Linked DNA regions of Kluyveromyces lactis. The protein of the gene in region 5 binds, or shares a complex with, the protein of the main gene of each other region. Links are inferred from orthologs where the notes say so. Each region holds a gene or a part of one and is shown on either strand. Other genes may lie near its edges.

Evidence for each region.
Region 1: RSM24 (region 5) and MRPS17 share a complex: the UniProt entries of both Saccharomyces cerevisiae proteins name them as parts of the mitochondrial small ribosomal subunit. The link is inferred for Kluyveromyces lactis from reciprocal best matches to the Saccharomyces cerevisiae genes RSM24 and MRPS17.
Region 2: RSM24 (region 5) and MRPS5 share a complex: the UniProt entries of both Saccharomyces cerevisiae proteins name them as parts of the mitochondrial small ribosomal subunit. The link is inferred for Kluyveromyces lactis from reciprocal best matches to the Saccharomyces cerevisiae genes RSM24 and MRPS5.
Region 3: RSM24 (region 5) and NAM9 share a complex: the UniProt entries of both Saccharomyces cerevisiae proteins name them as parts of the mitochondrial small ribosomal subunit. The link is inferred for Kluyveromyces lactis from reciprocal best matches to the Saccharomyces cerevisiae genes RSM24 and NAM9.
Region 4: RSM24 (region 5) and VAR1 share a complex: the UniProt entries of both Saccharomyces cerevisiae proteins name them as parts of the mitochondrial small ribosomal subunit. The link is inferred for Kluyveromyces lactis from reciprocal best matches to the Saccharomyces cerevisiae genes RSM24 and VAR1.
Region 6: RSM24 (region 5) and MRP2 share a complex: the UniProt entries of both Saccharomyces cerevisiae proteins name them as parts of the mitochondrial small ribosomal subunit. The link is inferred for Kluyveromyces lactis from reciprocal best matches to the Saccharomyces cerevisiae genes RSM24 and MRP2.
Region 7: RSM24 (region 5) and MRPS16 share a complex: the UniProt entries of both Saccharomyces cerevisiae proteins name them as parts of the mitochondrial small ribosomal subunit. The link is inferred for Kluyveromyces lactis from reciprocal best matches to the Saccharomyces cerevisiae genes RSM24 and MRPS16.

What each region holds. Positions count from the first base shown.
Region 1 is NC_006040.1:1,091,074-1,093,669, forward strand, and holds MRPS17 (mitochondrial 37S ribosomal protein uS17m), read left to right. Parts: upstream 1-1,397; coding exon 1,398-2,096; downstream 2,097-2,596. Other genes in the region: KLLA0_D12760g (uncharacterized protein), read right to left, coding at 1-836; putative rhomboid protease RBD2, read right to left, coding at 2,296-2,596. UniProt on the Saccharomyces cerevisiae protein: Component of the mitochondrial ribosome (mitoribosome), a dedicated translation machinery responsible for the synthesis of mitochondrial genome-encoded proteins, including at least some of the essential transmembrane subunits of the mitochondrial respiratory chain.
Region 2 is NC_006038.1:1,002,308-1,004,994, reverse strand, and holds MRPS5 (mitochondrial 37S ribosomal protein uS5m), read left to right. Parts: upstream 1-1,302; coding exon 1,303-2,187; downstream 2,188-2,687. Other genes in the region: cytochrome oxidase assembly protein SHY1, read left to right, coding at 2,568-2,687. UniProt on the Saccharomyces cerevisiae protein: Component of the mitochondrial ribosome (mitoribosome), a dedicated translation machinery responsible for the synthesis of mitochondrial genome-encoded proteins, including at least some of the essential transmembrane subunits of the mitochondrial respiratory chain.
Region 3 is NC_006037.1:1,006,620-1,009,708, reverse strand, and holds NAM9 (mitochondrial 37S ribosomal protein uS4m), read left to right. Parts: upstream 1-1,140; coding exon 1,141-2,589; downstream 2,590-3,089. Other genes in the region: EAF7 (Eaf7p), read right to left, coding at 1-749; SRV2 (adenylate cyclase-binding protein), read right to left, coding at 2,796-3,089. UniProt on the Saccharomyces cerevisiae protein: Component of the mitochondrial ribosome (mitoribosome), a dedicated translation machinery responsible for the synthesis of mitochondrial genome-encoded proteins, including at least some of the essential transmembrane subunits of the mitochondrial respiratory chain.
Region 4 is NC_006077.1:36,139-39,293, reverse strand, and holds VAR1 (ribosomal small subunit protein), read left to right. Parts: upstream 1-1,488; coding exon 1,489-2,655; downstream 2,656-3,155. Other genes in the region: COX3 (cytochrome c oxidase subunit 3), read right to left, coding at 1-755. UniProt on the Saccharomyces cerevisiae protein: Component of the mitochondrial ribosome (mitoribosome), a dedicated translation machinery responsible for the synthesis of mitochondrial genome-encoded proteins, including at least some of the essential transmembrane subunits of the mitochondrial respiratory chain.
Region 5 is NC_006040.1:1,522,990-1,525,619, reverse strand, and holds RSM24 (mitochondrial 37S ribosomal protein mS35), read left to right. Parts: upstream 1-1,218; coding exon 1,219-2,130; downstream 2,131-2,630. Other genes in the region: histone acetyltransferase NGG1, read right to left, coding at 1-870. UniProt on the Saccharomyces cerevisiae protein: Component of the mitochondrial ribosome (mitoribosome), a dedicated translation machinery responsible for the synthesis of mitochondrial genome-encoded proteins, including at least some of the essential transmembrane subunits of the mitochondrial respiratory chain.
Region 6 is NC_006038.1:937,252-939,318, forward strand, and holds MRP2 (mitochondrial 37S ribosomal protein uS14m), read right to left. Parts: upstream 849-2,067; coding exon 501-848; downstream 1-500. Other genes in the region: DCG1 (Dcg1p), read right to left, coding at 1,136-1,966. UniProt on the Saccharomyces cerevisiae protein: Component of the mitochondrial ribosome (mitoribosome), a dedicated translation machinery responsible for the synthesis of mitochondrial genome-encoded proteins, including at least some of the essential transmembrane subunits of the mitochondrial respiratory chain.
Region 7 is NC_006042.1:2,519,196-2,521,544, reverse strand, and holds MRPS16 (mitochondrial 37S ribosomal protein bS16m), read left to right. Parts: upstream 1-1,486; coding exon 1,487-1,849; downstream 1,850-2,349. Other genes in the region: mRNA-binding protein RRP12, read right to left, coding at 1-763. UniProt on the Saccharomyces cerevisiae protein: Component of the mitochondrial ribosome (mitoribosome), a dedicated translation machinery responsible for the synthesis of mitochondrial genome-encoded proteins, including at least some of the essential transmembrane subunits of the mitochondrial respiratory chain.

The DNA.
Region 1 (2,596 bases), about 430 kb from region 5:
CCGTGATCGTACACGATGGTACTGTGTGCCAGTGATCTGAGGTCAAACACTCTGACGGATCCATCACCACCGCAGCTGGCAAACAACTGCGTCGATTGTGCCAAGAATTTCACGTCGAACACTTCGCTATCATGTGCAATCAATTGCGTCTTTACGTAGTTGGTAGAGTTCGAAAGATCCCATACGGTACACGTCGTGTCGATGCTACACGATAATAGTAGGTTAGGGGAGATGGGACTCCAATGGAACGATGTGACGGGTGGGAGTTGGCCCAACGTGACAGTATCCTTTTGAGACGCAGAACTAGGGTGTTTCCCGTATTTGTATAAAGAAAGGTTGATCTGTTCCTGTAAACTGCCATCCAACGACCATATCCTTAGGGAATCCGAGCATGTTGCTAGTCTTGTATTGTTTTGAGGCATCCATTGGATCCTGGATATAGGATAAACCACGTTAGCAACGTTGGTACATTCCCATGTAGAATAATCGTTCGATCCGTTGATGATCTCTATTCTATTGTAGGAATCTTCCTTATATGTCCCCAGGGCACATTGATCGTTCTGATTCCAAGAAAGCGCGAAAAGTGGAGCGCTGGACTGGTACTGACATGTCGTTACCGTTTTTAGCTTGTCCAATGTATAGTTACTATTCCCACTCCCCAGTCCCAACTGTTGCTGTTGCTGCTGTTGCTGCCCATGTTGTAACTGTTGAGAATGGCCTTGGTTTGGTCGCTGGTAGAAATTAACTCCGTTGTTCCCTACATTGTCTAACAGGTTCAGTTGCCTTTGATAGCTTCCAAATGAGATACTGGACCTTTTACTATTTCGATAATCCATGATTAATGGCTAGTTTTCCTTGAAAAATCTTTGAAATAGAAATCCTCTGTAATTTAAATGTATATCGCAGTGTTTTGATTGGTCTTTCTGGTATCGTAGACCCCTTCAAACCCCTTCTCTCGGTTAGTTTCGATATTTAAGGTCATGTGAAGATTCTAAAACAGACCAATCCTTTAATTTTTATGGCCAGAATGTTAAGCCGTTTGCCATTCTCAAGAGCAACAGGAACATGAAAAAGGGACATTTAGCGTCCCACATTGCCTTATAACATTCTAATCTACCCACGGACGTTTCAAACTGGGCCAAGTGTGCTAAGAAGTAGTTTAGTTCTATAAAACCCAAGACTAACCTCATACCTCCATATTCTTGGTGAAGAACTAAATCACGTGATCTATCATTAGAAACGGTGGTGATCTTTCCAACATCAAAAAATTTTAAAGCCTTGAGGCCATGAACGGTTAGGTCGATGCTGTTAAAAGAACAATAGAGCAGTCTAGTTAGCTCTGTGTCAATTGGTTCGTCGATACCACTATCCAAGAATAAATTAGCCCACCTTCAACCATGGCTCGTCAAAATTTTATTGGGATGGTCATCTCCCAAGGGAAGATGCAGAAGACTGTGAAAGTTCGTGTTGAGACCAAAGTTTTCGATAAGAGAATCAACAAAGAGTTGTTCCATAGGAAGGATTATTTGGTTCATGATGAATCTGAGGTTTCTCGTGAAGGGGATTTAGTACGTATTGAAGCTACGAGACCTTTGTCCAAGAGAAAGTTTTTTTCCGTTGCTGAAATTATCAGAAATAAAGGTCAACAATTTGCTTTATTCCAAGAACAGGCCAAGATCAACGTTGCCAGCGAGGAAAACGAGAAGACTAAGGCCTTTTTAGAAAGGAGAGAACGTAAACAGGGTGTGGAATCGACACTTTTGAATGATGTTCGTGTATTACAGAAGGCTTATACAGATGGTACCGAGGATTCTGCCGCAGTTAAAGAGATTAAGAGCCGTTACGGAATTGATAAGTTTAGTCCGGAATCCTTGAAGCAAATATTACAGTTGGATATTCTCAAGATTGAAACCCAAGTGAAACAACAGCAGCAGAAGATCGATGCTATTACAGAAAAATTGGCAGAGTATACCAAGAACGAATCCTTGGCTAATGAATTTTTACTATCGAAAGGTTTGGAGAATCCTCAACTGTTGAAGAAGAATATCAAGAAGAACATCTTGAGAAAGCACATACTCGAGGAACTCAACGTATGAGAGAAAAAGAGGAATGACAGAAAATAATTAAAAAGGATGTTTCCCTATGTATATAGAATGAATATAATTCTCCCCGCCGCATCGAAGTAACACGCATGTAAATATAATTATCAATATTTCAAAAGTTGGGTTTGAAGAAAAAGAAGAAGAACAGCAGATGATTTAAATCTCTAGTATCTAATTTCTGAGGATTCACATTTCAATTTCCCAAGACTCTTCCGTTTCCTTGAAATGTGGGCTCCGCTGGAGTATCCGTATTATGCAAGGGCAATCTGGATTCTGACCCCAGGTAAACGGAAGTATATTCAAGTGATCTGTCCACTTCAACTTCCCTATAGTACTTAATACCGAATGGGATCAGATTGATCAATGGATCGACCCATGTTTCAATTTTCTTCAATACAAAGCTTGGTGGAGTAATCTTGGCTACCCAATTCTCTTTCAACCCCATGAAGTATCCTAATAGTAACCCAATTGCATGACCTGGTAGACTAGAACCA
Region 2 (2,687 bases), on a different chromosome or scaffold from region 5:
AGGAAAAGAAAACTTGCAAGGCCAGGTGGTTTCCTTTCTTACCATATGTATATCACTGCTGGGTAGCGTTAGTAAATGCATTAGTTTGTCAATCTACCTGCGGCATGGAATTTTCACATGACGCACAAGTAAATCACTATTGATGTCGCATTGCCACTAGGGATTGGTTCCAGAAAACATAACTTCTTCCGAATTGATTTCAGATTCTACCTCCATCCATGTGAACGAGTATTTCGTTCCAATATTTTTATATAAATTAACGAGTAACTTATATGGTAATCTTGTCAGATAAGTGGAGTTGATTTCATTTGGAAAGAGAACCAACAGGATTGGTATGTCTCATATGAATTTATTCTCGGACCAAAATTGAGAAAGAAAACATCTGCAGTTTTTCAAAAATTCAGGCATTTTGGGATTACTCTCTCTTCATGCAGGGCAAGACACCAGATCATCTTTATTCTATTGGTCTTCATGTTCCTGCATAACTAAATACTATTTGTATTTAGTTCATTATTTCCTGTAGATAAAGAATCTTTCTAAATGGGTTTTAAAACATAGTAAAATATATACCTAAAAGAAGAGTCTTCGTGATATGAATGTTTCATCTTTAAGGTACTGAAAGGATATGGTACTAATATTGATTCTAATGACAACAAAGCCCGTGTATAACATTGCCAGCTGAAACATGTTGCTCCACTATGTATCAGAAGAATATGTAGTGTTTTGAAAAAAGATCTTCTCTGGAAATTGTATATAGCGATACTAAACCACTAATATAGATGTTTTAGTGACCGGCTTTATTAAAGCAGGTAAGTCGTTGTTTAAGCGACAGAGCTCAATATTGGATGAAACAGACTCAGAAATGAAACAAAAAAACATGTTACCCGGATAGCATTCCATATGATAGTGTCATCTACCATGTAAGGGTAAAGATGCGTGGAACATACCTGAAACATACTCCATGTATCCTCCTTTGAACGTCTGAAGAAGATTTTAAAGATGTGCAACCACTGCTAATCTTACCATACCTTAGTGGGTGGATCTTCAGCTAAGAATTGTGAATTTCTAATCACATGATCAAGAATAATGCTCTCTCATTTGTAACGATTGATCGATTTTCAAAAATTAAAAAAATTTCAATAGTTAATACAGAATGGCAACATACTCAGACATATACACCAGAATAAGGTCTAATATAATTGACACCAGAAGTCTTTTGAAGCAGGTTTAGACAGGTCGAGGAGCAAAATTCAACATAGTGAGTTGCAGCGTCTTTCTCAATAACCCTGATCGTATTTGAGAATGTTCGTCCGTTGTTTCTCGAGCACTGCTCGTGTATTTCAACAAGACCTGTTGAAGAAATACTACTCTCCAGAACTACTCAAGTCTATTTCCTTAGCTGATAAAGTAATTCCTGACAATGTAGAGTTCAAACCACAGACAAATGTTGAATTCTCACCACCATATTTGGATAACTTTGCCACATTACATCCTTATTGGGATTATAAACCAAACTCTCCACATCTACATTCAAGCTCATCTTCGGTATTCGTTCAAGAGATGGAAAAGCATCCAGATTTGACTCCTCCTGTGGGTTCATACTTACAAACTGAAGGCAGATCAGATATACAAAACATTGCCAATAATATCCAACTACAGACGGGGTTCGATGCTCAACATATCGCCAGAAAACTAGTGATGAAACCATTGATCTTAAAGATGGTTTCTAATCAAACTGCAAAAGGTAAAATTCCATCCTTCTATTCTCTTGTGGTTGTTGGTGATAAGAATGGTATGGTAGGAATCGGTGAGGGTAAATCCCGTGAAGATATGGCAGAATCCATCAAGAAAGCTCATTGGGATGCAGTGAGGAACTTAAAAGAAGTGCCTAGATTTGAAAAAAGAACTATTTTTGAAGACATAGACTATAGATACCACGGTGTGAAACTATTCTTGAGAGCTGCTAAGCCAGGTTTCGGTCTAAGAGTCAATCACGTAATTTATGAAATTTGTGAATGTGCTGGTATCAAAGATTTAAGTGCAAAAGTTTACAAGAGTAGAAATATCATGAACATAGCCAAGGGTACTATAGACGCTATCACCAAGTCTCAAAAATCTATAGATGAAATTGCTCTAGGTAGAGGTAAGAAAATTGTGGATGTCAAGAAGGTATATTACTCTGCTTGATTTCAACCAACTCCATATTTAAATTACTTTCACTTTTTCTCCTATGAAGAAACTATCTGAACAACCTTCACATGATTCAATTACGACCTAGATGATCATTCTCATAAAACAATCAATACTCAGATCTACGTAACCTTGTACATATTAATATCCCCACAACGTCGGAGTTCCAAATTCTTCTTCACGTGACTTTTAGAATATTTCACACTTTTCTGATCTTTAAAAGATTGGAAAATGAAGATGATGAAAGCAGATGAGTAGTATATCTAATCGCGTATAAACATGATTAGAAAAGCTTTAACTTCTTTGCTGTTACTAATTGTTCAAACGCATTTCAATTCTTAGCGGAAGCTACTAGTATCACACAATTAGCAAAGCATATGTTTCGCTTCATTGTGGCTAGGCCATTCACTGTACCAAAGGTAAGGCCGGTAAGACGACTTTATAGCACGGTCAGGACATCGACTGTTGACTGGAAACCTATCAAAACAAAGAAGACA
Region 3 (3,089 bases), on a different chromosome or scaffold from region 5:
TCATCGACAGGTTCATTCGCCAGTTCGCTCACAGATTCTCCAACACTGACTGGCGGAGTGGTCGCCATTTCTTGTTTCGCCTGTACATTATTTTGCTCAGTATCCTTTTCATCGATATCCTTTTCTCGTTCCCGTGGCTCTTCTGACTCTTGTTCTACTTGCGTATCCTGTGATTCCGCACCCTTCAGTTTTGCCTTGTCATCCGCAGAAGCGGTCTCCTCTTGCTTAATATCTTCCACCTCATGATCCCTAGCATGTTCTAACATAAGTTCTCCATAATCTTCCCACGATAGTTCAAATTCCGTCTCTTGCTGGAGTCTATTTTGTAATGGTATTATATTTCTCTTAAGCTCGTCACAATTGTCAACATCATTGTCACTGTCATCATCATTATCTAGTTGAGCGTCCCCTTCTGTCTTTTTGTTTGTAGTTTCGGTTGGTCCGTCATCATTATAAAATTCAGGGTATGGCTGGTTCTCTACTTCATCTGCCTTCTCTAAATTATAGTACCGACTCAATTGTTCCCAAACGTCCTCCCCAGAAAACACTTTATCTGAGCTGCCTTTATCGCTTTGCAAAAGTTTGATTGGATACTGATCTGGCTTGTTCAATCGCTCAAGCAAACACACCATATGGAAGTGTTTATGTATTCCTGCAGGTTTGAACAGCATCATCCATTTAAACAGCCTTATTTCCTCCACTTTACTCCATGTTTGCCCTCTAGGTGATTCTATCTTTACAGCGGACATCGCAGTGAACCGTATCGTATTACTTTTATCTGAAGTATCACAACCTTATACACCAAAAGAACGTTCTTGCAATTGATATAATAAAGTTCCTATCAAGATCGCTGATAAAGCAGATCGTATGAGGCTTGATACCATCTTCGCCAGTCCATCTCAATATGGTTCTATGGTGTTTCTCATCTTTCTAAACTATGAATGCTAATATTTGATATCATATGTCACGAAATTCCTCTAAAAATTTTTCAATATCGGAAAGCTTCAAGCATTAGATAGCGTTTGATTGAAAAATATTATGCAGGTAGTTCGGATATGCAATGTATTTCCATTTCGAAGAGTCCGTAAGCAGTCAATTCTGGTTAGTTTTGTCAATACATTGTGAAGAAAAAGACCAGCAATGCCTAGGAAAGCTGTACTTCTGAACTCTTTGTCCAGAGGGAAGGTTCGTACCTCTTTTAACAAGTACAATTTGTTCAACTTGTATAAGAAATCTCAGGTCAGTTTTAGATCGAAAACACTATACCAACAGAAATGGACTTCTAAACAGGAAACTCGTGCCTACCATGGCGAACATTTAACAGAGAGTAGGTGGCAGTCTGTTTTCGAGCCTCAGCTAAACTCTGTGGCTCAATTAGATGCTTCTCTAAGGGGTGGTGATATCGAACCGACGCCCATTCTATTACAAACATACGCTGTACTAGAGAAAAGGCTAGACTTTGCTTTGTTTAGAGCTATGTTTGCCTCGTCAGTGAGACAAGCTCGTCAGTTTATTTTACATGGCAACGTCCATGTGAATGGTGTAAAGATTACTTCTCCGGGATATGCCTTGAAAGCTGGTGATGTTTTCAACGTCAGACCCGAAAAAGTGCTACAAGCTCTTGGTGCCAAGAAACCTAGCTTGAAGGAAGCTTTGAAAGTGGATAATACCCAAATTTTCCTATGGAACAAATATATTCTAGAGGCTAGAAAGAATCCTAGAAAGTTCTGGGATGAAAAGATCGAAAAACTAAGAACTATGGATAGTAACGATCCAAAGAAACAGGAATTTTTATCCTTCCTCGAAAACTACAACAAAACCATGCACATTCAAATGAGGAAAGAATTAGACCAAACCAGTAACGAGTATTTGTTAGCTAAGATCTTTTCTACCGTTAACCGCGTTAACGATGTAGAAAAATTGGCAGTAAAAGATTTCTTGGGCGAATTTTACAATAACGAAAATTTGGCAGCTAAAGGATTCGAAATTTATAGAGAAGTCAAGTCTGCCAAGGCTGTGGAAACGATAGCAGGGAAGCCTTTGGCTGAAATTCCTAATGAACAAGGTGAATTGCTAAAGGTGGCTACAGGAATAACTAAACCTGTTGATAACACAAACGATGCCTTAAAGAAAAAATTCAGAGCCATCAATCATACTATAGTTGATTTGAGACATTTCTATGAAACCGTGGTCAGAGAACATTATAATGACAAGATGGCATCCGTTGATTCTGTTGATATTCCATACGATGCTAAGTGGGCTGAAAAGTTACCATTGCATCAAAAGATCAATGTTCCTGAACTATTGGAAAACGAACCAGCTGCTCAAAAAGCTATCAATTTACCATGGCAAAAGGGTGTGTTTGGTCGTAACGATCCATCTAAACCATATTTCACTCCGTGGAAACCAAGACCCTTCTTAGCACCATTCGCCATTCTACCACACCATTTGGAAATATCATTCAAGACATGTCATGCGGTCTACTTAAGAGACCCTGTTGCACGTCCAGGTCAATCTGAAGTTATTACTCCATTCGGCTTACCTGTACATGAACGTTCATACATGTACTATGTGAGAAGGGGTAAATAAGTTGACGAAAACAAATACACACGAAAGAATGGATACACTGTGACTATGACAATTTAAAAAGAATGGTGTATCTTGGAAACCTTGTACATATTATTATCATTATTTTATCGTATCATATTATATTAATTATATATATATATTTATATGTTCTAATGAGTAAAGAATAAACTAACACCCAGTAACGAGAAGATATACTATTCAGATATTCAACCAGCATGTTCGTAAATCTTGGTTTGTAGTTTACCTTCGACGAAAGTGTGTATCATCTGTTCTGGAAGTGGAACTTCAACGAAGTCACCATCGGGACCAGTTGGAGTGTTGATGTTAATACCAGTGCTAGAAGAGGTGAAAATTTGAGCCTGTAAAGAGTTTTTACTCAAATAAATGGAGCCGCTATCAGACGCGTCGATGGTGATTTGTGGCAGGGTGTTTTCCACTTGAATACCAAATCTCAAACATTTAATAATATCCACACCACTGATGGAAGAATCTAGCACTAA
Region 4 (3,155 bases), on a different chromosome or scaffold from region 5:
ATATGGCAGTACAACACTGTTGTTTCATAACCTACATGATGAGTAGCTGTTAAATGATAGTTTCTTAATCTTCAATAATTAATACCTAACATTGCTGCTAACATAACCATATGTAAGAAATGTAATCCTGTACCAGCATAGAATACTGATCCATATACACCATCAGTAATTGTGAAAGTAGCATTAGTATATTCGATATATTGACAAGTAACAAAAATAACAATTAATCAGAATGTAATTAATAATCCTGATAATGCATTTTTTCTATTACCACCTACTAATCCATGATGACTATATGTAATAGTAGCACCTGAAGATAATAAGATAATAGTATTTAATAAAGGTAATTCTGTAGGTTGTACAGCTTGAATACCAACTGGAGGTCATACACCACCTAATTCAATATTAGGGCTCATAGCTGAATGGAAATAAGCTCAGAATAATGCAGCGAAAATTAAAATTTCTGATACTACGAATAATAAGAAACCTAAATTAATACCTTTTCTAACAGCAATTGTATGATCTCCTAAATATGTTGCTTCAGCAATAATATCTCTAAATCATAATGTAGCACTTAATGTTACTGTTAAAATTGATAAATAAATTAAATACATATGTCCAATATATCCATGCATAGTTAAAGCTAATGATAATGCTAATGACATTAATGCAAATGATACTACAATTGGTCATGGTGATGGAGCTACTAAATGAAAGGGAAATTGTTGATGTCTACTTCTTTCTAAATGTGTCATAAATATTTTTATAATCTATACATTTATAAATTTAAATGTTAATTTAATTTATAGAAATAATATTACTTAATATATATATATAATATATATATATATGATAATATTTATATTTTAATATAATTATTATTATATTATACTTACTTATAAACCCCATTGCGGACTCCCCCCCCCCCGAAGGGAGGAGTCCGCAATGGGGAAAAGTTAATTATGAAAACTATTTATATATAGTATATTATTAGTAATATTAAATATATATCTAGTATCGCCAAATACCCCTATAATAGGGGTATTTGGCGATTAATAATTATATTATTATATATAATAGATCTATATAAATAAATACAATTCCCCGGACGCCTCGTCCGACCCTACGGTCGGACGATGGCGTCCGGGGTTTATATATCGATTCCCCCCAATCTCATAATATGAGATTGGGGGGGGGGGAAATAAAATAGATTATCTCTTTAATAATAATTATAAATAGAATATATTATCTTACCCCGCGGATCCTCTACTGGTATTACCAGTAGAGGATCCGCGGGAATTTATCTCTTTCCCGCGATATCATCATATGATGATATCGCGGAATATACATAATTTATAAAATATATAATAAATATTTTATTTTATATTTATAAGTAGTAAATATAATAAACATGTTAAATTTTTTAATAATTTAATAATAATATATATATAGTTTTATATATATATATTATACGATCAATATATATAAATAAATATAAATACAATGAATAAACATACAACAAATTTAAATATTATTAAAAATATTAATAATATAAACAATTTAAATTCTATAAAAGAATTATTATTATTATTAAATAATAAAAGATTAAATAGATCTTTAAATAAAACTTATATTTGAGATTATTTAAATGAATTAAGTAATAAAGGTGTAAAATTACAACATTTAAATAATATTAATTCTTGATCATCTCAAATTTATAAATTTAATAAAACTGAAGAAATTAATAATACTATTTATGATAGATTAGTAACTAAATTATTAACAAAATTATTAGTATTAAATATTAATAATAAAATTTATAAATTAATTATTTCTAAACCTATCTTTGAACATAGTATTAATAAAGTTAATATTAAATTTTTCTATTATTTATCATATAAAAATATTAATAAAAATATTAATAATAACAATAATTTAATTAATAATATTTATAGTAATTATAAATTTAATATTAATAGTAAATTAATTAATTTATTAAATAATAACATTAATAGTATTAGTAATATTTTATCATTATATTATAATAAAGATGTATCATTTGAACCTATTCAATTAAAATATAATTATATGAATAGTGATATTTTAGCTAAATCATTAAAAATTATGAATTCATCTTCTAAAAGAAGTTTATCAATGAATAGAATTAAAAATTTAATGAATAATATGCCTAAATTAAATGATAAATTAATTAGTCAAACATATATTAATAATATTAATAATATTATGTTTAATAAATATAATAATATTATTAAATCAATTAATAATAATAATAATAATAACCCCGCGGACTCCTCTCCTGGTAATCCCAGGGGAGGAGCCGCGGGGAAATTATATAATATTATTTATGAAAATAATAATATTAATACTATCCCTAATAATATTTTAATGTTTAAATATTTAGTAGGATGATCAATTCAATTAAAAGGTAGATTATCTAATAATAAATCTATTTCTAGATCTAATACAATGAATATTTTAAATGGTACATTCCAAAACTATAAATATATTTGAGGTAATCAAATGGTTAATAATTATAAATTAAATTATATCCCTGTTAACCATAATATTACTAATATTTCTGATGTTAATAAAAATGGTAAATATAATATTAAAGTTAAATTAAATACTATTTAATTTATTAATTAATAATAATAAATAAATAATCAATATTCTTCCCCCACGCGGCATTACCCTAGGGTAATGCCGCGTGGGGCTTCTTTCTTTATATTATAATTATATAATTATATAATATATAATAAATTAATATATACATATAATCCCCCCTTCATATTATATGAAGGGGGGGGTAAAAATATAAATATTTTATAATATATAATAAATTAATATATATCTTTCCCGCGTTCTCCTTACTATTTCCTTAAGGACCTCTAAATACTAATAAAAATTAATTTTATATTATTAATTTTATATATAAATAAATATATAATATACATTTTCCCGCGGGGTATAATACTTATTATTAGTATTAATAATTTATTTATTTATTTATTTATTTATTTATTAATTTATTTATAATACTTTTCCCGCGGACTTATTCCCTGGAATTCCAGGGAATAAGCCGCGGGGTGTATAAATAATTTTATATACTCTTCTCCCGGGGACTCCTTCCCATA
Region 5 (2,630 bases):
TTGTGGCATGATGAATTTGTTTTGAAGGAATTTGATATCGTCATCATTGAATTCTCTGTAAAAGGCCTCGATGGATGAGAGAAAAGTATTAAACTGAATTTGGTTTGTGGGTTTAGGTTTCGAGAAATCCATATCAGGCAGCTCACCGGGTAGAAGTTCCTTTAAGTCATTTGTAGGATAGCTTACTACCCCGTATTTCTTTTTCAAATATTCCTCACCAGTAGCTTCAAGACCCTCCTCTTGAAACAAACCTAATCTCATTGCAGCAGCAGGTAACGTTTGAGATACTACAAATTCAGACTTGGGGTTTCTAATGTTAGGATCATTTTCCATTTTATCAATATCTAGCTTTGCTTTCTTTGATATGTGACCATCTGATGATAAAACTTCCGCTTCTTCAATAGTATCTTGTGGCCTTTTGTCTGTCTCCTCGTTCTCTTCTGTAATTGATCTTTTATCCGATACGACTTCGCTAGATTCATCAAGTTTTTTATTAATTGAATCATTTTCTGCGTTCTGGGCTGCAAGGTTTGTTGCAGCTTCTGCTTCCTCCTTCTCTTTTTGTTTCTCATCTTCGAGCCTTATTATATCTTCCCGCATTTCCTTGATTAGGTCTAAATTCTCTTGATCACTAGCTGCAATTTTCTCCAAACATTTTCCTAGATTTTCTAGTTGATCTTTAGTTGTTTGCAAAACCGGTTTCTCAGGAACCGACCTCACGTATTTACCGTTCAGTAAACCTATGTCATTCTCAAAAGTCAAGTCTAAAGACTTCAGCATCGAATTTAGAATATTCGACGGTTCATGTAGCCCAGCGTCATCTCTTTTCTGCTCTCTTATTCCTTTGCCTCTTCGCGTATTCCTTGACATAATATACCAGTGGTGTTTTACTGAGTGAAGATCTGGTTTAGCAATCTACTTGATTCCACCTTTGTCCACTGTTGACTATCGTTAAAAGATAGGCTGCTTTCCAGCTTTGGCAATATTAATGACTTTGTTCTGTTTGTTGCTTCGTTGTTTATCTTCCGTTACTTTGACAGATATTTTCATAGAAAATTTATTATCACGTGACCTCCGCCTTTTCTCTGCAAAAAATTTTCCAAGTTTACCAGAAATACCAATAATCCTCGATACAACACCAATCGGAACCAGAGAAAGCCAATTATATTCAAAGTGTTAAAAGGTCTGCGATAACGTAATCATCTTAGGCACTCAACAATGATTACTGGTGCTAGCGTGCAACGTACTGCATTCTTTTGTAGTAGACGTTTAAACTCCACCGTTACGAAAGAAGTTGCGACCATTTCCTCAACACTTTACAAGGATCCATCGAAATGGATCGGTTTGGATAGTAAAGATATCATAACGTTGCACAATGAAAGAAAGGCAAGACTAGGGCCCCTATATAAGCCTTGCGAAGAAGAGTTGAAAGCATTGTTACCCACTGCCGAAGCGTCTGGAATTCCAGCAAAACTTTTCAAAGAGTACTATCATAAGACACCTGAAGAAGTTGAGGCAGAAATGGGCATTGCAAGAGGTCTAGACGAGCATGTCAACTTGGATCAATATCAGTTTGATGATTTGCCATCACAATCACAAATTTTAGTTCATCAACATCGTGAACAACGTTTCTACAATCGTTTGGCAGCATTTGAACTTCCTTTACTTGCGCAGTATCGTCAAGAATATAAACGCCCTTCAACAAAGACTCATCCAGTAGCTTATCGTTATACAACATATCTTGGTGAAGAACATCCAAATTCTCGTAAGGTTGTCTTATCTGTGAAGACATCGGATCTCGGCTTGGAACAGAGGGAACTGCATAAGCTGCGTCTATTGGCAAAAACACGTTATGATTCTACTACAGATACTTTGAGAATGTCTTCTGATCGCTATGAAGAACCAGCTCAAAATGCAAAGTACTTAAACAGCATTCTTCTAGAATTACTCAAGGAGGCTAAAGATTTGAAAGACGACTTTGCTGATGTTCCTCTCGATAAAAGACATATCATCGCAAGACAATTGCGTAAGAAAAAGCGTGGGTACGAGTTCCCAGAAGAGTGGAAACGTCCACAAGATGCTCCAAGGAAAACAGTGGATCTTGTTGAGCTATTACACAAACAGCTTTGATCAACCTTTTAAAACACACAAAAACAACTGTAAATAGCCATATACGCACAAATTAATGACCAATTTAATTGTATAGCAACAGCCATCTATTCGTTAAAGGGTGAAAAGACAAACCTTACATATCTAAGATGATAGCTACTTCAACTGTAGATTTAGTTGATCAGCAATGCTAAATGAGATTCTTTCAAACTTGTCACCGAGTAATTCAAAGAAGTAAACTGACGGCGGAATATTTGAAGAAATTTGGCACTGCATAGATGCATTGTAGATAAGTTATACGTTGACTTGACATTAAAATATACCACTCATTATTTTGGCATAGTATTTGAACAACGTGTGTACGAAAATAAGGTCCATGTACTGAATTGCACGTAAGTGTTTTACAAATTAAAGGATCAAAGATTAATTTCAATTGGGAAAGAATAAAAATAAGTGAAGTGATATGAAAAATTTGAAACAATACCACAAAGAAAATCTTCAATTACTCCACAATGCTTCCT
Region 6 (2,067 bases), on a different chromosome or scaffold from region 5:
TAATTGGCAGAAGTAAAGATCCAAAAAAAAAGAAGAGGGAAGACGAACAAACCATATTCATTTGTTTCTAATTGATCAATTTTTAATATACAAATGTCAGCAATTAATTTCCGTTGAATTTCCTAATTTTTTCTCCTCGTTCTTTTCTTTGTTTCCATCTGGTTTCAAGTGACCATCCCTCCCTGACATTTTCTCTTCTACCTCTCTTCTGTTTTGTGTGTTTCTACCTATAAATTATTTTTATATACCTACACTCTTTTATTTTGTAAGAAACTTAAATATTATCACCACTATACTGCACTTTCTCATCTTATAAATGTCACTTGCTTTGCCACAACCCAAGCGCTTCTTTTACATTGATTAAACCTTGTATTTTTTAATGTCTATACACAAGCTTTATATATGTTGAGTTAATTAAAAATATTTACATGCATGCGGGAGAGAAAGATTCCAACTTTTACTAACCTCAGTATCAGGGAACAAAAGATGCTAAACTGCATCTACCATACACCCTTCTTCACACCAGGTAGATCACCTTTCCTGGCAAGTTCTCTGAATTGCGATCTACACAATCTGAAATCACTCAGAACAGATCTGGAGTGTCCCGTTTCAATACATCTGTTCTTGATTTGTGTCATTCTTGTATAGTTAGGCATCACAGAAAGTTGTAACTGAGCTTCCATTCTCGACCTTGGAGGTAGAGTAGTATTTCTAGCAATGAATTTCAATGCCTTTACAGTGACTTCATTGTCTGCAACTTGCTGTCTCTTGAAATTGTCTCTGATAACTCTAGCATTCAAATACGTTGAAGGAAGCTTTGTCTTGATTGGAAATCTGAAACCACCCATGTTGTTTATATCTACAGCCTTCCTTTGGATATACTAATTGCTAGGATAACTATCGAAATTAGTCTCACAGATACTGAATACGCCGAAAACCAAAGAATGCATCCACTAATGCTTGAACTTTATTCTTCATCTTCCGGAGAAGCTCCAAACTCGTTTTTTTCTCTTTCAAAGCTTGAAGTTCATATCATGTTAAACGTTCTTGATGGAGGTCACCTGACTATATTGGCACTATACACGTTATATAAGGAATGGAATGAACACAGCACCATGCCAATGGACTCCCAGTATCATGACTTCTTGATTTCAACTGTATCACCTCTTAGTTCTCTTGCCTTTCTAGCACTTGAATAAGCTCCTTGTTTGGATGTACCGTGTAATCCACTTCTGTAGACAGCCGAAACAATGTTGATCCCGCATACCACTCCGTCAATAATTGGCACTTCATAGCCATTCTGCTGTAAAGCGTTTGCAACAGCATTTTTCAAGTCGCTCATCCCTGCACAGCCCAAGATGATGGTGTCTGCGTGATATTCTTCTACTAAGGTCAAGGCAGTTTTAGACATTGTTTTATGAAGCTCAGCTTCTTCCACTTTGACCAAATCCGATACGGTTTTGATACCAGAACTTAACAATCCAACGCAAAATGTGGACATGCCAAGACCTGCTATGGTTTCCTCATCTCTTAACTGAGCCTTGTAAATTGATGCAAGAATACCGAATTTTGATCCAATGATCCTGGATGAGTACACGGCTGCTTCCACGATACCCATGCACACAACATCATCAAATTCTTCCCTGATAGATTTTATCAATGGATGGTCGCTAAAACATCCAACAAGTACACAATCGACTTGGTTTATTACATCGTAAGCATCTTCCATAACGGCAATTGCAGATTGAATACCATCGAGATGACCCTCAATCACATTGGGTGCCTTACCAAATGGTGCAGTGTACCCGTAAACCACAGTGTCTGGAGCTACATGACCAGCCAATATCTTTAAACAGGCATCGGTCATTGCTTGGGTTGAATTAGGGTTTACAAATAAGACCTTGATGAGCTCATCATCTGGTAAACTCTTCTTGTGCTTTACGAAAGGTAATTTAGACAACGACATCCTTGCTTGTTAGTGTCAGCTATGTTCTATGATTCAATATGTTAATCATCCTGGAATAATGAGCTACTTGACTCCTATCATACAGAGTTATATAAGTTTCT
Region 7 (2,349 bases), on a different chromosome or scaffold from region 5:
GCCATTGATTTGTTGATATTATATTGCTCAAAAGTTTCAAAATATGAATGATTTTGGAGTTCAATTCACTTGCACCTCCCATTGCTCTTAGCTTCTTATTGGAAATCGTTGCAGATTCATCAAGGATGGATACCAATGCATTAATAGCGAATGCTGAGATCAAAGGTGATGCGACGTGTTCTGCTGTTGGACCAGGTGGAGGGTTTTTTAGAATGTTGGTAATTGCATCCTGTGCTCTCTTCCTTACTTTTGGTCTTGGATCTAGAGATAGCTCAAGTAGACCATCCAAACCTCTTGTTGGAGTCACCTTTAAATTTTGAGTGTTATTCCACGTTTGCGTATCCTGGGCAATTAACAAAGCTTCTAAACAACCAAGAGCGGATTTGATCAAAGGAGCGTTAGCCTTTTCATCAGTAATACATGGGGCAACTTTAATCAAAATATCAGCAAACCTGCTCTTTAATATTTTCTTTGGTGTATAATGAAAAATGATGTCCAACAAATACATCGTTGATGTTGCTAATTGTAGATCTTTAATGGCCGCAGTTTCTGTATCGATAGTTTGATCCAGCAAGGACATCAAAGAAATAAGATAATTCACGATGTTCTTATTAATTGCCTCTTGCTCATTAATATTTTCTTCAATAGCAGCCAAGATTATGGCAATGTGCTTCTGATTCTCTAGTTTTGATGTAGATTGTCCTCTGATTTTAGCAAGCTTATCTTCAAGTTCAAGAAGCTTGGACGCTTGTTCAGGACCCATATTGCACAATTTGTTCGCTTGTCAGTTTTCAATCCCAAGTTAAACTCAGTAATTCTCTTTTCTGAGGTGTTGTTGATTATAACTCGTCTCTACTTGTTAGATGAGATGAGCGATGAGATGAGCTAGATTGAAAATTTTATACAGCTTGTGAAAAATTTCTTTTTAAGCCCTTAGTGATGAAGCAGCAAGGATCGTGAGGCAATGAAGAAAGCAGAGAATAAAAAGTAAATAAATTTTGGTTAATATATGCCAACTCTGTATATATGCGTCTGCTAAACGGGTTCAAGAACATACTATTTCATTATTTGTGTCGTTAACTTTCTTTACTGAATGCGATGTTATTTGTAATGCCAAGTCGTTTTATATGACTGCATTTTTGGTAAACTAATTCCCACCGTCAGTCTAACTCCAGTAAATAAACACTTTCTCACTTATAGATACTTTCTCATAGATCAACTTCCTATACTATTAGGCTGTAATGTCGCCATAAACGCCTAAGACGAATGTTGCTCATACGGCTGTTAGATATCCCACCTATATCACGTGATAGACATGCTTTATTTAGTTGGTGTTGAAAATCCTTCGAAAGATAGAAAAAAAAATTCAATCAACATTAAAAGCGTAATAACAGGACAAACATATTATGTATCAAGACGACCAGAGCGAGTAAACCAAGTCTCTTAAACCAGAATTTAACGCCAAGTTTGGTGAAATACAATAATCATGACGAAAGGTTTGGTGAGGATAAGACTAGCTAGATTCGGAAGGAAACATACCCCAGTATACAACATAGTTGTTACCAACAAACATAAGGCGTTGAATAGGAAACCAATTGAAGTATTAGGAACATACAACCCAATCCCAAAACCATTAACGAAGAAAGAGGTTAAACAAGGTGTTGTTCCTACTAAAGATGTGGAATTAGACTTCGGAAGAGCTAAATACTGGATCGGTGTTGGTGCTCAACCTAGTGATACGGTAACAAGACTATTGAGAAAAGCTGGAATCCTGGATGAAAATTGGGGAAAGACCTACACAAGTAGTAGGGTTGTTATTGAACCTAGGAAAGAAGTCTTTGAAGAATAGACCAGCTGTTCCGATTACTGTATTAAAAGCGGTATATCAATAATCAGGGCATAAATCACCATCTCCCAAGGCTTTCTTACGGTCAAGAACTCATGTATATAGGCTTAAATTGATAAGAGGAATTCGGGCACTTTTTCCGGTCATAAACCAATGTAGTAGTTACATACACTTAACAGCTTGGCCCCATGCGGTAAAATTGAAGTGATTAAATTTACATATCACCATATATAAGATGCTATCAGGTAATTCTACACAATAATAATAATCGTCATCAGCATATATTTCCCTGAATGAGGGAAGTATCATCGAGGAATACTGACTGTTAAACTATGTGATTTCCGAAAATTCATAAATATTAACAAAATTACAAGAACAAAAAGATGGTTTATGTTATGTTTTTGTGAATGAGTGAGTGAATGTCTAACTTCTCAAGTATTTAATAGGTATGTTTGGTGTAATGTTCAGGTTTGTATTGGAGATTAGTGCTCATGATGTTACAT